Sus scrofa: one gene and its partners. The protein of the gene in region 2 interacts with the protein of the main gene of each other region in a pairwise test. Links are inferred from orthologs where the notes say so. Each region holds a gene or a part of one and is shown on either strand. Other genes may lie near its edges.

The links.
Region 1: the proteins of NDEL1 (region 2) and MIS18A interact in binary tests that used the Homo sapiens proteins (3 or more experiments, as listed by UniProt). The link is inferred for Sus scrofa from reciprocal best matches to the Homo sapiens genes NDEL1 and MIS18A.
Region 3: the proteins of NDEL1 (region 2) and ZNF197 interact in a two-hybrid assay, tested with the Homo sapiens proteins (2 studies listed by BioGRID and IntAct). The link is inferred for Sus scrofa from reciprocal best matches to the Homo sapiens genes NDEL1 and ZNF197.

Annotation. Positions count from the first base shown.
Region 1 is NC_010455.5:195,914,893-195,918,309, forward strand, and holds part of MIS18A (protein Mis18-alpha), read right to left. Parts: intron 2,964-3,417; coding exon 2,841-2,963; intron 1-2,840. UniProt on the Homo sapiens protein: Required for recruitment of CENPA to centromeres and normal chromosome segregation during mitosis.
Region 2 is NC_010454.4:53,615,293-53,618,826, reverse strand, and holds part of NDEL1 (nuclear distribution protein nudE-like 1), read right to left. Parts: coding exon 3,474-3,534; intron 2,549-3,473; coding exon 2,400-2,548; intron 352-2,399; coding exon 215-351; intron 1-214. UniProt on the Homo sapiens protein: Required for organization of the cellular microtubule array and microtubule anchoring at the centrosome. May regulate microtubule organization at least in part by targeting the microtubule severing protein KATNA1 to the centrosome.
Region 3 is NC_010455.5:27,895,974-27,899,507, reverse strand, and holds part of ZNF197 (zinc finger protein 197), read right to left. Parts: coding exon 1,588-3,534; 3' UTR 1-1,587. UniProt on the Homo sapiens protein: May be involved in transcriptional regulation.

The sequences.
Region 1 (3,417 bases), on a different chromosome or scaffold from region 2:
GGCTCAGCGGGTTAAGGATCTGGCATTGTCACTGCTGTGGCTCAGGTCGTTGCTGTGGTGCAGGTTTGATCCCTGGCCTAGGAGCTTCTGCATGCTGTAGGTGCGGTCAAAAAAAGAAAAAAATAATAATTAAATTTATAATAATAAAATTAAAACTTGTGTATTAAACAATTTATTTGTACCAAGTAAACACATAAAACTGTGTTAATAGCAACCTACCTAGTAAGCGATATTACATAAAATCATGTTTTTTTCCATAACAGCTTTGTCCACATTGCCCTACATATTTCCCAATATTATTATTATTATTATTATTATCATTATTGGGAAACACAAGTATTCTATAAGTCCTATATAATAAGTATGTGAGTAACTTGCTATTTAACAAGCTCAGTGGCAAAACATTAACATTCATAGTTCAAAATTCTATTCTAAAGTTTAAAAAGATCCTGAAGAAGCCAGTGCTTTTTTGCTTCTTAAAACTTTGCAGGAACATGTGCATTTTTGCATTTGACTTTGAGTACATGATTTGTGGAGTCCACTCTTGCTTACCTAGATTTGGGCAACTGCACCAGTTATTCTATGAGCTATGTTTAGCTCCACTCTCTGGGGTGATGAGATACTATGATTTAGAAAATAGGAAGAATAAAAAACCGGCCTGGCAATGGGACGGAAGCAGGTCCAGCCCTGGTAACCAAATAAATGTGAACACAATGAAGAAGGTGCTGGCGTTGCTCAAAAGAAACCTGGATTCATTTGCCTTGCTTTAGAAGTCTTTTATCACATGGGACAACTTTGGTTTCTTTTGTCAACTAAGAACAGTCTTCTCAGAGTGCCCCTTGAGGCTCAACAGGTTAAGAACCCGTCATAGTGCCTGTGAGGGTGCGGGTTTGAGCCCTGGCCTCACTCAGTGGATTAAGGATCTGGTGCTGCTGCGAGCTGCAGTGTAGGTCGCAGATGCGGCTCAGATCCGGTGTTCCTGTTGTTGAGGCTCCAATTCCACCCCTAGCCCAGGAATTTCCACAGCCTAGGGGCGGCCCTAAACAAAAGGGGAAAAAAAAAAACCAGTCATCTCTTAGAAACCTATTGATTTTCTGAGAAATGGTATGGGAGGTGAAGCTGTGAAAGGCGATTCATATCCTGTTTAGAAAAGAAAAATGAGATGAGGGGAAAACTCAGTGGCACTGAGTAATTTATAAAACTGTAAATAAATATTACAGAGGGCAGCCACTTCTAAAACAGACCAGGTTCACCGGCATTAAAATTCCGCCCCAAGAGGAGGTAACTACCTTAAGTTCAACTGTTCAGGAAAAAACAGCTTCAATGCTATGAACTTCTATGGAGAAACCTCTCACGCATTTTCTTTTATACAGATTTGTATCTTTCAAAATTTTGTACCAACCACACTAGACTGAGATTTCATGTCGGCAAAACCTGTACTCTTGTTGACATGATTTTCACAAATCTTGGTACGGTTCTCATGGAGGTTAAGGCCGAAGTTGTCTGGGCCTAGTTCTTCTATTTATATGTTAAAACCAAAAGAGATCTGCTCTCTCCCAGCAGTGGCCCTACATGCTTTATATCAGTGAGCAGTCCTTACTAAGTTATTTTTTTATGTAAGGACAATAAAAAGCTTGCAGATTTTATAATTTTGATCCAAACCTGTCTAGTTTCAAAGAAAGTGGCAAAACTGCAGTTATCAAAGAATAATTAAATGAGAAATTATAATAAAAAGAATACAGTTTTAAAATTTTTAAAGAGACAAGAGTTCCCGTCATGGCTCAGCAGAAACAGATCCGACTAGGAACCATGAGGTTTCGGGTTCGATCCGTGGCCTCGCTCAGTGGGTCAAGGATCCGACGTTGCTGTGAGCTGTAGTGTAGGTTGCAGACATGGCTCGGATCTGGCATTGCTGTGGCTGTGGCGTAGGCTGGAGGCTACAGCTCCGATTTGACCCCTAGCCTGGGAACCTCCATATGCCTTGGGGGTGGCTGTAAAAAGAAAAAAAAAAAAAAAAATAGTACCAAAGTTAAAAAAATAAATAAAATAAAATAAAATAAAAATTTTAAAGAGACTAAGAAACTCAGCAGGCATGACAAAATACTTTGAGTAATCAAAGTCTAGGCACCCTGTTTTCTTAAACTATTCTTCTTTCCTGATACATAAAGTTTCCTAGGCATTTTTAAAGTCTTAAGGATTACGTCTTTTCCAAGATAAGTGAATATACATTGGGGTCAATTCATTTTGTTTCCTACTAAAAAAGGCTAATGCCGACACTAAGGCCATTAAGACAATTGTCATCAGACCCTAATTCACCTTGTCTCCTAACACTTTTCAGACATCTTGAAAGTGAAGGTACTTCCTTGCATCTCTCGAAAAAGCAGGCAATTCTTTACTACCCTCAAGGAAACAGGTGGACTTCATATTCCTACTTTTTCTAGAACACCAAAGGGACTTCTTTCCTGACAGTTTTTGAAATTCCTATTTCTTCATAATATTCTCACAGACTAAAAACTAGAGGAAAAAACTACGTGGACAAAATATAGACTCACACATTGCTTTAAAAGAAAAAAACAATTAAACGAAATCCAATTGTAAGAAAAACTGAACATGTTTTTACTCTGAAAAATGTTCTCGCAATTTAGAATGACAGACTTTTCCAATACCAAATTAATTAGGTCCAAACAAAAAATCACTGGCGTTATTGTCAAAAATTATTATTTAAAAATATATTTTAACCATACAGTGTTGACTTAGCTCTGATGTTTTCATACCACGTTCTCTGCAGACAACTTTCTGAGAATTCAGTGAGGAGCTATTCACTTATACACCACACGTACCTTTCGATGGCCTCAACACTGAGGCAAAACAAGTCTCTCTTGTAGTCTAGGTTCTTGGGTGTGCATCTGTACACGTAGCCAAGGCTGAGTGAACATCCTGCACAGTACAGAGCCTCCAGGATGCTGCAACAAGAAACACCAGTGCTTTAGCAAGTGATTGGAACAAAAATCCCATTGCTGAGATCCATAAATGTTTCAATTCTAAAATATGTTATTTTGACCCTACTAAGTCATGTGTATAAAGGAGGAAAAAATGATAGTAAGATGTTTACATTAGAAATATATTCCCAGGAGTTCCCTTTGTGGCTCAGCGCTTAACGAACCTGACTAGGAACCATGAGCATGCAGGTTCGATCCCTGGCCTTGCTCAGCGGGTTAAGGATCCGGCGTTGCTGTGAGCTGTGGTATAGGTTGCAGAGAAGGCTCGGATCCTGTGTTGCTATGGCTGTGGTAGAGGCTGGCAGCTGTAGCTCCAATTCAATCCCTTGCCTGGGAACTTCTATGCCACAGGTGAGGCCCTAAAAAGAAAGAAAAAAGAAAGAAATATATTCCTTTGGGGAGGGAAGGATTAGGAGTT
Region 2 (3,534 bases):
CTCTGTGCCTTAGTTTTCTGATCTATAAAATGGAGATAACATCACCTCCTAGAAATGATGGTTAGGTACTGACTTAACAGATTAAAAGTACTTAGCATAGTGTCTGATAAAATTATATAAATGCATAGTTTTCAAAAGCTGATCCTGAAACTAGCTTAGCACTCTGGCTTAGGGATGGTAAGGCAGTAAATATTCTTTCAGTTATCAATCTTACCTCTTGCTTCATCCTTTAATCTCTGTACAGAGACCAACAAAGATTCCTTTTCATCAAGTTCACTTTCTAAAAATGCATTTCGTTCAATGGCCTGATTTAGCCTTTGTTCAAAGTCTTCCAGTGAAACTATCGTTGCCCTAAAAAAAAAAAAAGTACAGAGTCCAAGAATTTAATAAGTAACATGCAAAGAGATAATACAGAAGGAAGCTGTCAGTTTTATCTCACGCCATTTCCCAGCCTAGAAAGCCTGGCCCAGTGGGAAGAATGACCTCATCCCTTCTGACCTCTGGTACATTTAGGGTCTCGACTCTCATTTGGGGCCATTCAATATATCCTTTTCGTAAATTCCTATCTAAATCCCTTAAAGTTTTTTAAAGGAAGGCCACTTATACAATTTACATCTGCCCACTGGATTTTAAACACAATATAACCAAGCTTACACATTTTCAGGAAGAAAACCTTGCAACAGTTTTACAGTGCATAAAAATTAACCAAGACTGTGTATAAGGGAGTTCCCGTCGTGGCTCCGTGGTTAACGAATCCGACTAGGAACCATGAGGTTGAGGGTTTGATTCCTGGCCTTGCTCAGTGGGTTAAGGATCTGGCGTTGCCATGAGCTGTCATGTAGGTCAAAAGACGAGGCTCGGATCCTGCGTTGCTGTGGCTCTGGCGTAGGCCAGTGGCTATAGCTCTAATTGGACCCCTAGCCTGGGAACCTCCATGTGCCGCGGGAGCGGCCCAAGAAATGGCGAAAAGATTAAAAAAAAAAAAAAAAAGTATGTGTTTAAAACACAAAGTCCCAGACCCCACTGCATCTACTTTCTTCCTACCAACCCTTTTCTTCTTCCTGCATTTCTCGTCTTCCTCATTTATTCAACAAACACTGACAAGCACCTACTATGCACCCTCTACCCACTATGTACTATCTGCCACAGAAATAAAATTCCCTAACCTCAAGTCAGAACTCCCAATGCCAGGTCCAGTTTCATCAAGTCCTGTCAATTGCCAAAACGTCTCCCAGTTTCATCTGCTCTCCTTCAACCTTCTGCCCCTGGCTTAACCTTGACCCATCACCAGCATTAATCCTAAATGGTCTTCACATCTCCTCCTCCCTGCTTCCAATTCCTCAGTATTATCTTCTCAAATCACAATCTGAAAATATTCCTCTGTTTAAAAAAAAAATTTTTTTTTTTTGTTTAAACATTCTTAAAGAGCAACCCTTGGCCTACAGAATGAATGACTTTCAAACACAGCCAAGCACAAGGTTGGTTCTTCCTAACTTGGCCCCAAATACCTTCAGTGTCATCTCGTTCAGCCAGCCTGTCTCTATACACTTCCAAGTGAAATATTAACACCTCATGCACTTTCCTGCCTCCACATCTCTCTCTTCACCTGGTTGAAATCTATTCCTCCTTGCAGCATCAGTTTCCCTAGTTACCACAGGGTAGTTCATCTGCTCCCTTCTCTATGCCCTGGAGCAGCTTGTACATTCTTTGTACTAGTGTTTATCACACGGAATGCTCTTGCGTGTCACGCCCAAGGGCAGTGGCGAGTTCATCTTGGTATTCTCAACTCTAACATCATGCCAAGCATTTAAGAGTCACTCAAATACTAAGGAAAGAAATCCCAGACAGTAATTGTAAAGTAAAAGGAATTACGTTTGGAATGGTTAAGAAACAACTCATTATAGATACATAAAATCTTGGCAAAGTAACAGCAAGCAACTACAGGCTATTCAGCAAAATCATCATAAAAGCATTATTTTGAAAGAAAAAATTCATTGGTATTAAAAGAAGAGAATAAAAAGGAGTGAATTTTTAAAAACAGATTGGCTAGGAAGTAACTGCAGAATTCAGCTATACAACGAGAGGACCTACAAAAAGTGTGGTAGTCGTGACAACACAGAGGGAAGACAGAGAAGGGAACGAGACACGTTTTAAACAAAGACCAAGCAGAGCCAACAATGGTACATAAAGGAAGGAAAAAGTCAAAACGGAAAGAAAAGCCTGGAAGGGCATCATCTGGGGAGATGAGGATTTTTGCTAAGTTGCAATGCAACGAACGAGGTACAGGGGGCATGAAAGATGGCAAGGAAATGCTGTGGGCCGGAGAGCCAGGTGACAGGTTGAGACGATTCCGACCGCCAGCTCCAGTGAGTCTAACAAAACGCACCTCCCGGACTTACCTTTTCGCCCGCTCCAGGTCGTCGTTGGCCTGCTCCAGCTCTCTCACATACTTATGCAACTGCTCCTTAATGGCCCGAGTCTGGCTTAAATCATCTTCTAATACGGAGACCTGCTTGTAGCTCTGTGCATATTGATGTTCTAATTTCTCCTGAAGGAGTGAGTGTAAGAAGCAAAGTACACATCACAAACATATATTTTTCTCTAATAAAAGATGTAACCCAACTAAGCTGCAGGGTCAGGGGGGATCCAAGGCATTCACCCATAATCTGAGTTGATAATACCCCTCTCTTCTTAAAATAGTTTAGAACAGTAACACATTCAGATCCAAGTGCCTCAACTCATCAAATCAGTCAAGCCTTCTCCTCTCAAAGATATCTAATAATGATCTCTCTGAAAAGAGGTAAAAATACTGAAAGGTATTGCCTCCAAAACCTCAATCTTGGTGAGGGAACCTTAGGTTCTTGGCGGAATGCAGCCCAGGATGAGCACAAAGAAGTGACTGACAAGTGCAAACTGGCTCCCTCTCGCCAGCCCATCCCCACTTCCTCAAACCCACCCCACGCCCTGACACAGCAACACCCAAGCATGTGGCTTCGGCATGTGATCCAGAGCAGCCAAAGGGGTTCATCATTTTACTCCTGAAAATTACTTGTTAGAAGGGAGTATCTAAAAACCAAACGCAACTCCAAAACTAAAGGGACTATGAACCATAATGACATAAATGTGTACTTCACACAAATATGCTTTTAAAGTACCACAGAATGAGGCAATCTGTCAAAACAAGTCATCAGGCAACTTTTGAAAATCATAGGCACTACAGCATAATATTACAGCAAGGAACATTATAGCTTAAGAAACTGACAGCTACAGAGTTTCTAAGTGAACTCCTGAACTCTAAACCACCTATCCCTTGGTTCCATCAAAGTAAACAATTTGTGTCAAAAATTCACTTTCGGTCTTTTTATATTTTCATGTTGCCTGCTTCGGCTCTTAAACTCTACCTGAAAAAGACGTACTTCTCATTTTAATAAAACCCAGCACATGAGACACTGGCTTCTACCTAGCACAATTACCTTTAATGCTTCCACTTCATACTTCAGTCTTTGGTTATCAGCTTGCAAGTCTCTATTTCTT
Region 3 (3,534 bases), on a different chromosome or scaffold from region 2:
GACTAGTATCCATGAGGATGCAGGTTTGACCCCTGGCTTTGCTAAGTGGGTTAAGGATCTGGTGTTGCCATGAGCTGTAGTATAGGTAACAGAGATGGCTTGGATCTGGCATTGCTGTGGTTGTGGTGTAGGCTAGCAGCTATAGCTCCAATTTGACCCCTAGCCTGGGAACCTCCTATATGAGGATCTTAAAAAACAAAACAAAACAAACAAACAAAAAAAAAAAACAGGAAAATTTAAATATACAAATGCAGAAAAGGGCTTTAGTTTGTGTGAAAAACTTATGTAGTAACTTGAATGCTGGGACCGAATGTTGTTTCTTGAGTAACAAGGTACTCGTATGTAAGTACTGATGAAATGTTGATTAGAATTGAGAATGACAGTAGCAGGAACAGTCAGTTCAGGCGCTGGGGTTAAGGATTTTCTGCTGTCAACAAGGAAAGCAACATAGGACTGTCCTTCAATTTTGACACTCGACATCTGCTAGGTTTAAAATTCAAAAGTTGAAAAATAAATTGTTTTTCTTGACATCATGTTAATGGCTGGACATACAATTTTTTTTCCTGAATCCGCAGCATGCAGAATTTCCAGAGCCAGGGATCGAAGCTGCACCACAGCAGTGACCCTAGCCACAGAAGTGACAATGTTGGATCCTAAATCCAATGAGCCACCAGAGAATTTCTGTACATACTATTTAATAAGCCAACATTTCTCCATTAAAAAACCTAGGTATATTACCTATTATCTCCCTTAAACATTTTTAAAGCTGTTTTTAAAAAGCCTTTTCAGAGCACTAAATTCTGAATTAGCTATCATACTTCCTCTTCCTATAAAAACAAATCTTTTGAGGTTCATGAAGTACTAATATTAAATTAACGAACAAATATTAATTATGCCATGTTCTAGATTTTGACCATATCTTTTATGCAACTTTACAATTAAATTATTTCATAAAGTACCTTCACATGATCCTTTCACTTAATCTTCACAACACCCTATGAGGTAGGCATTATGTCAGTATTTGACTGACAGAGAAACTGAGACTTAGAGGATAATTCAATAACATCGCAGAGCTAGTAAGAAAAAGGACACAAACCTTGGTTTTCTGATTCCAAATCTAATGTTCTTAAGTTGTCCTCAAACAGCAGATTCTTGCCCATGGAATTCCATGTTTGATATGCCTTAATCACAGAGGTCTACACAGACTCTCTGTAGCAGTAATACTACCTATAAAATGTACTCTATCTATCTATATATATATATTTCAAAAATGTCCACTTTTTAATACAAAGATATTTTTGCTATCATTTACAATGACATTATACATCTTATAAAACATAATCCAATTTCTTGGAATCTTTAATTGCTCCAAGGTCCTTTTCTAGGGTCATAATAAATGGTCTAGAATAGAGTATCTTTTAACTACAATTTATGTTTTTAAGTCTTGAAAGTCTAGATTAACTTTCTTCCTCATGTAACATACTTGTCTATAAAAGGGTCATGATTTTTCTCCTTATAAAACTCATATGCTACCCTTTATCCAACAGTTACCCAAGTAGGCAGGGATTCTATTCCATTTTACAAATACTAGATTTTCTGAATCTCTGTCTTAGACTCATGGGCATTGTGGAACCAAGAGAATTCCTCCATAGAATGGATTTTCTGTTGAAGATGAACATTTGAAGCCTGAGAGAATTCTTTTTCAGACTCATCGCATTCACAGTTTTTTTCATCTGTATGAGTTTTTTGATGTACACTAAGGTTTTTTCTTTGCCTAAAAACTTTACTACAATCATTACAGCCATATGGTTTCTCCCCTGTGTGTATTCTCTGGTGGCCAACTAAATTCCTCTTAGAAGTAAAAGATTTTCTACACTTTTCACACTCATATGGTTTTTCCCCAGTATGCATTCTTTGATGTACAACAAGATTTTTATTCTGACTGAAGTCTTTTCCACACTCATTACATTTATAAGGTTTCTCTCCGGTATGGATTCTTTGATGGACCATAAGATTTCTACTAGAGGTAAGGACTTTTCTACATATATGACATTCATAGGTCTTTTCCCCACTGTGAATTCTTTGATGTTCAATAAGATTTCTGTTGTAAGTAAAGCCTTTCCCACACTCATTACATGCATAGGGCTTCTCACCAGTGTGGATTCTCTGATGGGCTATAAGGTTTGAGCGGTAACTGAAGACCTTCCCACAGTCATTGCATTTATAAGATTTTTCCCTTGTGTGAATCCTCTGATGTCCAATGAGGCTTTTTTTCAGAATGAAGCATTTGCCACACTCATTACACTCATAGGGTTTCTCACCACTGTGGATTCTCTTATGCTCAATGAGGTTTCTGTTAGAACTGAAAGCCCTTCCACACTCACTGCATTCAAAGGGCTTTTCCCCGGTGTGGATTCTCCGATGTACGAGCAGGCTTGAATTATAACTGAAAGCCTTTCCACAATCCTCACATTTGTAGGCTTTCTCCTGTGTATGGAGTTTCTGATGGACCATGAAACTTTTGCTCATGATGAAAGTTTTTCCACACTCTTGACACTCATAGGGCTTTTCCCCATTGTGAAGTCTTTCATGGTCAATGAGGTTTCTGTTAGAACCAAAGACCTTGCCACAGTCTTTACATTCATAGAGATTCTCTCCAGTGTGGAACCTTTGATGTAAAATGAGGCTCTTTTTCAGAATGAAAACTTTCCCACATTCATTACATTCATAGGGCTTCTCCCCATTATGGAGTCTCTGGTGGTCAAAAAGGTAAGCACTCTGAGTGAAGGCTTTCCCACATTCAGTACATTTATAAGGCTTCTCTCTGCTATGCATCCTCTTATGGTCAATGAGATTTGACTTGGAAGTGAAAATCTTCCCACATTTTTTACAACCAAAGGTCTTCTTTTCTGTGTGAACTCTCTGGTGTAAGAGGAGGCTTTTGCTTCGAATGAAAACTTTCCCACATTCTTTACATTTATATGGGTTCTCTGCACTGTGCAGCCGCTGATGGTCAACAAGGTAAGTGGTCTGGGCAAAGGTTTTTCCACATTCGTCACATTTATAGGGTTTTTCCCCAGAGTGGATTCTCTGGTGCAGAATGAGACTCTTCTTCAGGATGAAAGCTTTCTGACACTTGTTACATTTATAAGGTTCTTCACCTTTGTGGAGCCTCTGGTGGTCAATGAGGTATGCATTTTGAGAGAAAACTTTTCCACACTCGTTGCATTTATAAGGTCTCTCCCCAGAATGGCGCCTTAGATGTATAATAAGGCCTGAGTGCCTATAGAAGCCCTTTCCACACTCCTTACACTTATAAGGTTTCTCCCCAGTGTGGATTCTCTGATGGTTTAGAAGGTAAGCACTTTGAGAGAAAGCTTTCCCACATTCATTACATTTATAAGGTTTCTCCCCAGAATGGTTCCGTAAATGCATTAGAAGGCTTGAGCGCTGAATAAAGCCTTTTCCACACTCCTTACATTTATGAGGTTTCTCCCCAGTGTGTATTCTCCGATGGTTTATAAGATGGGAGAT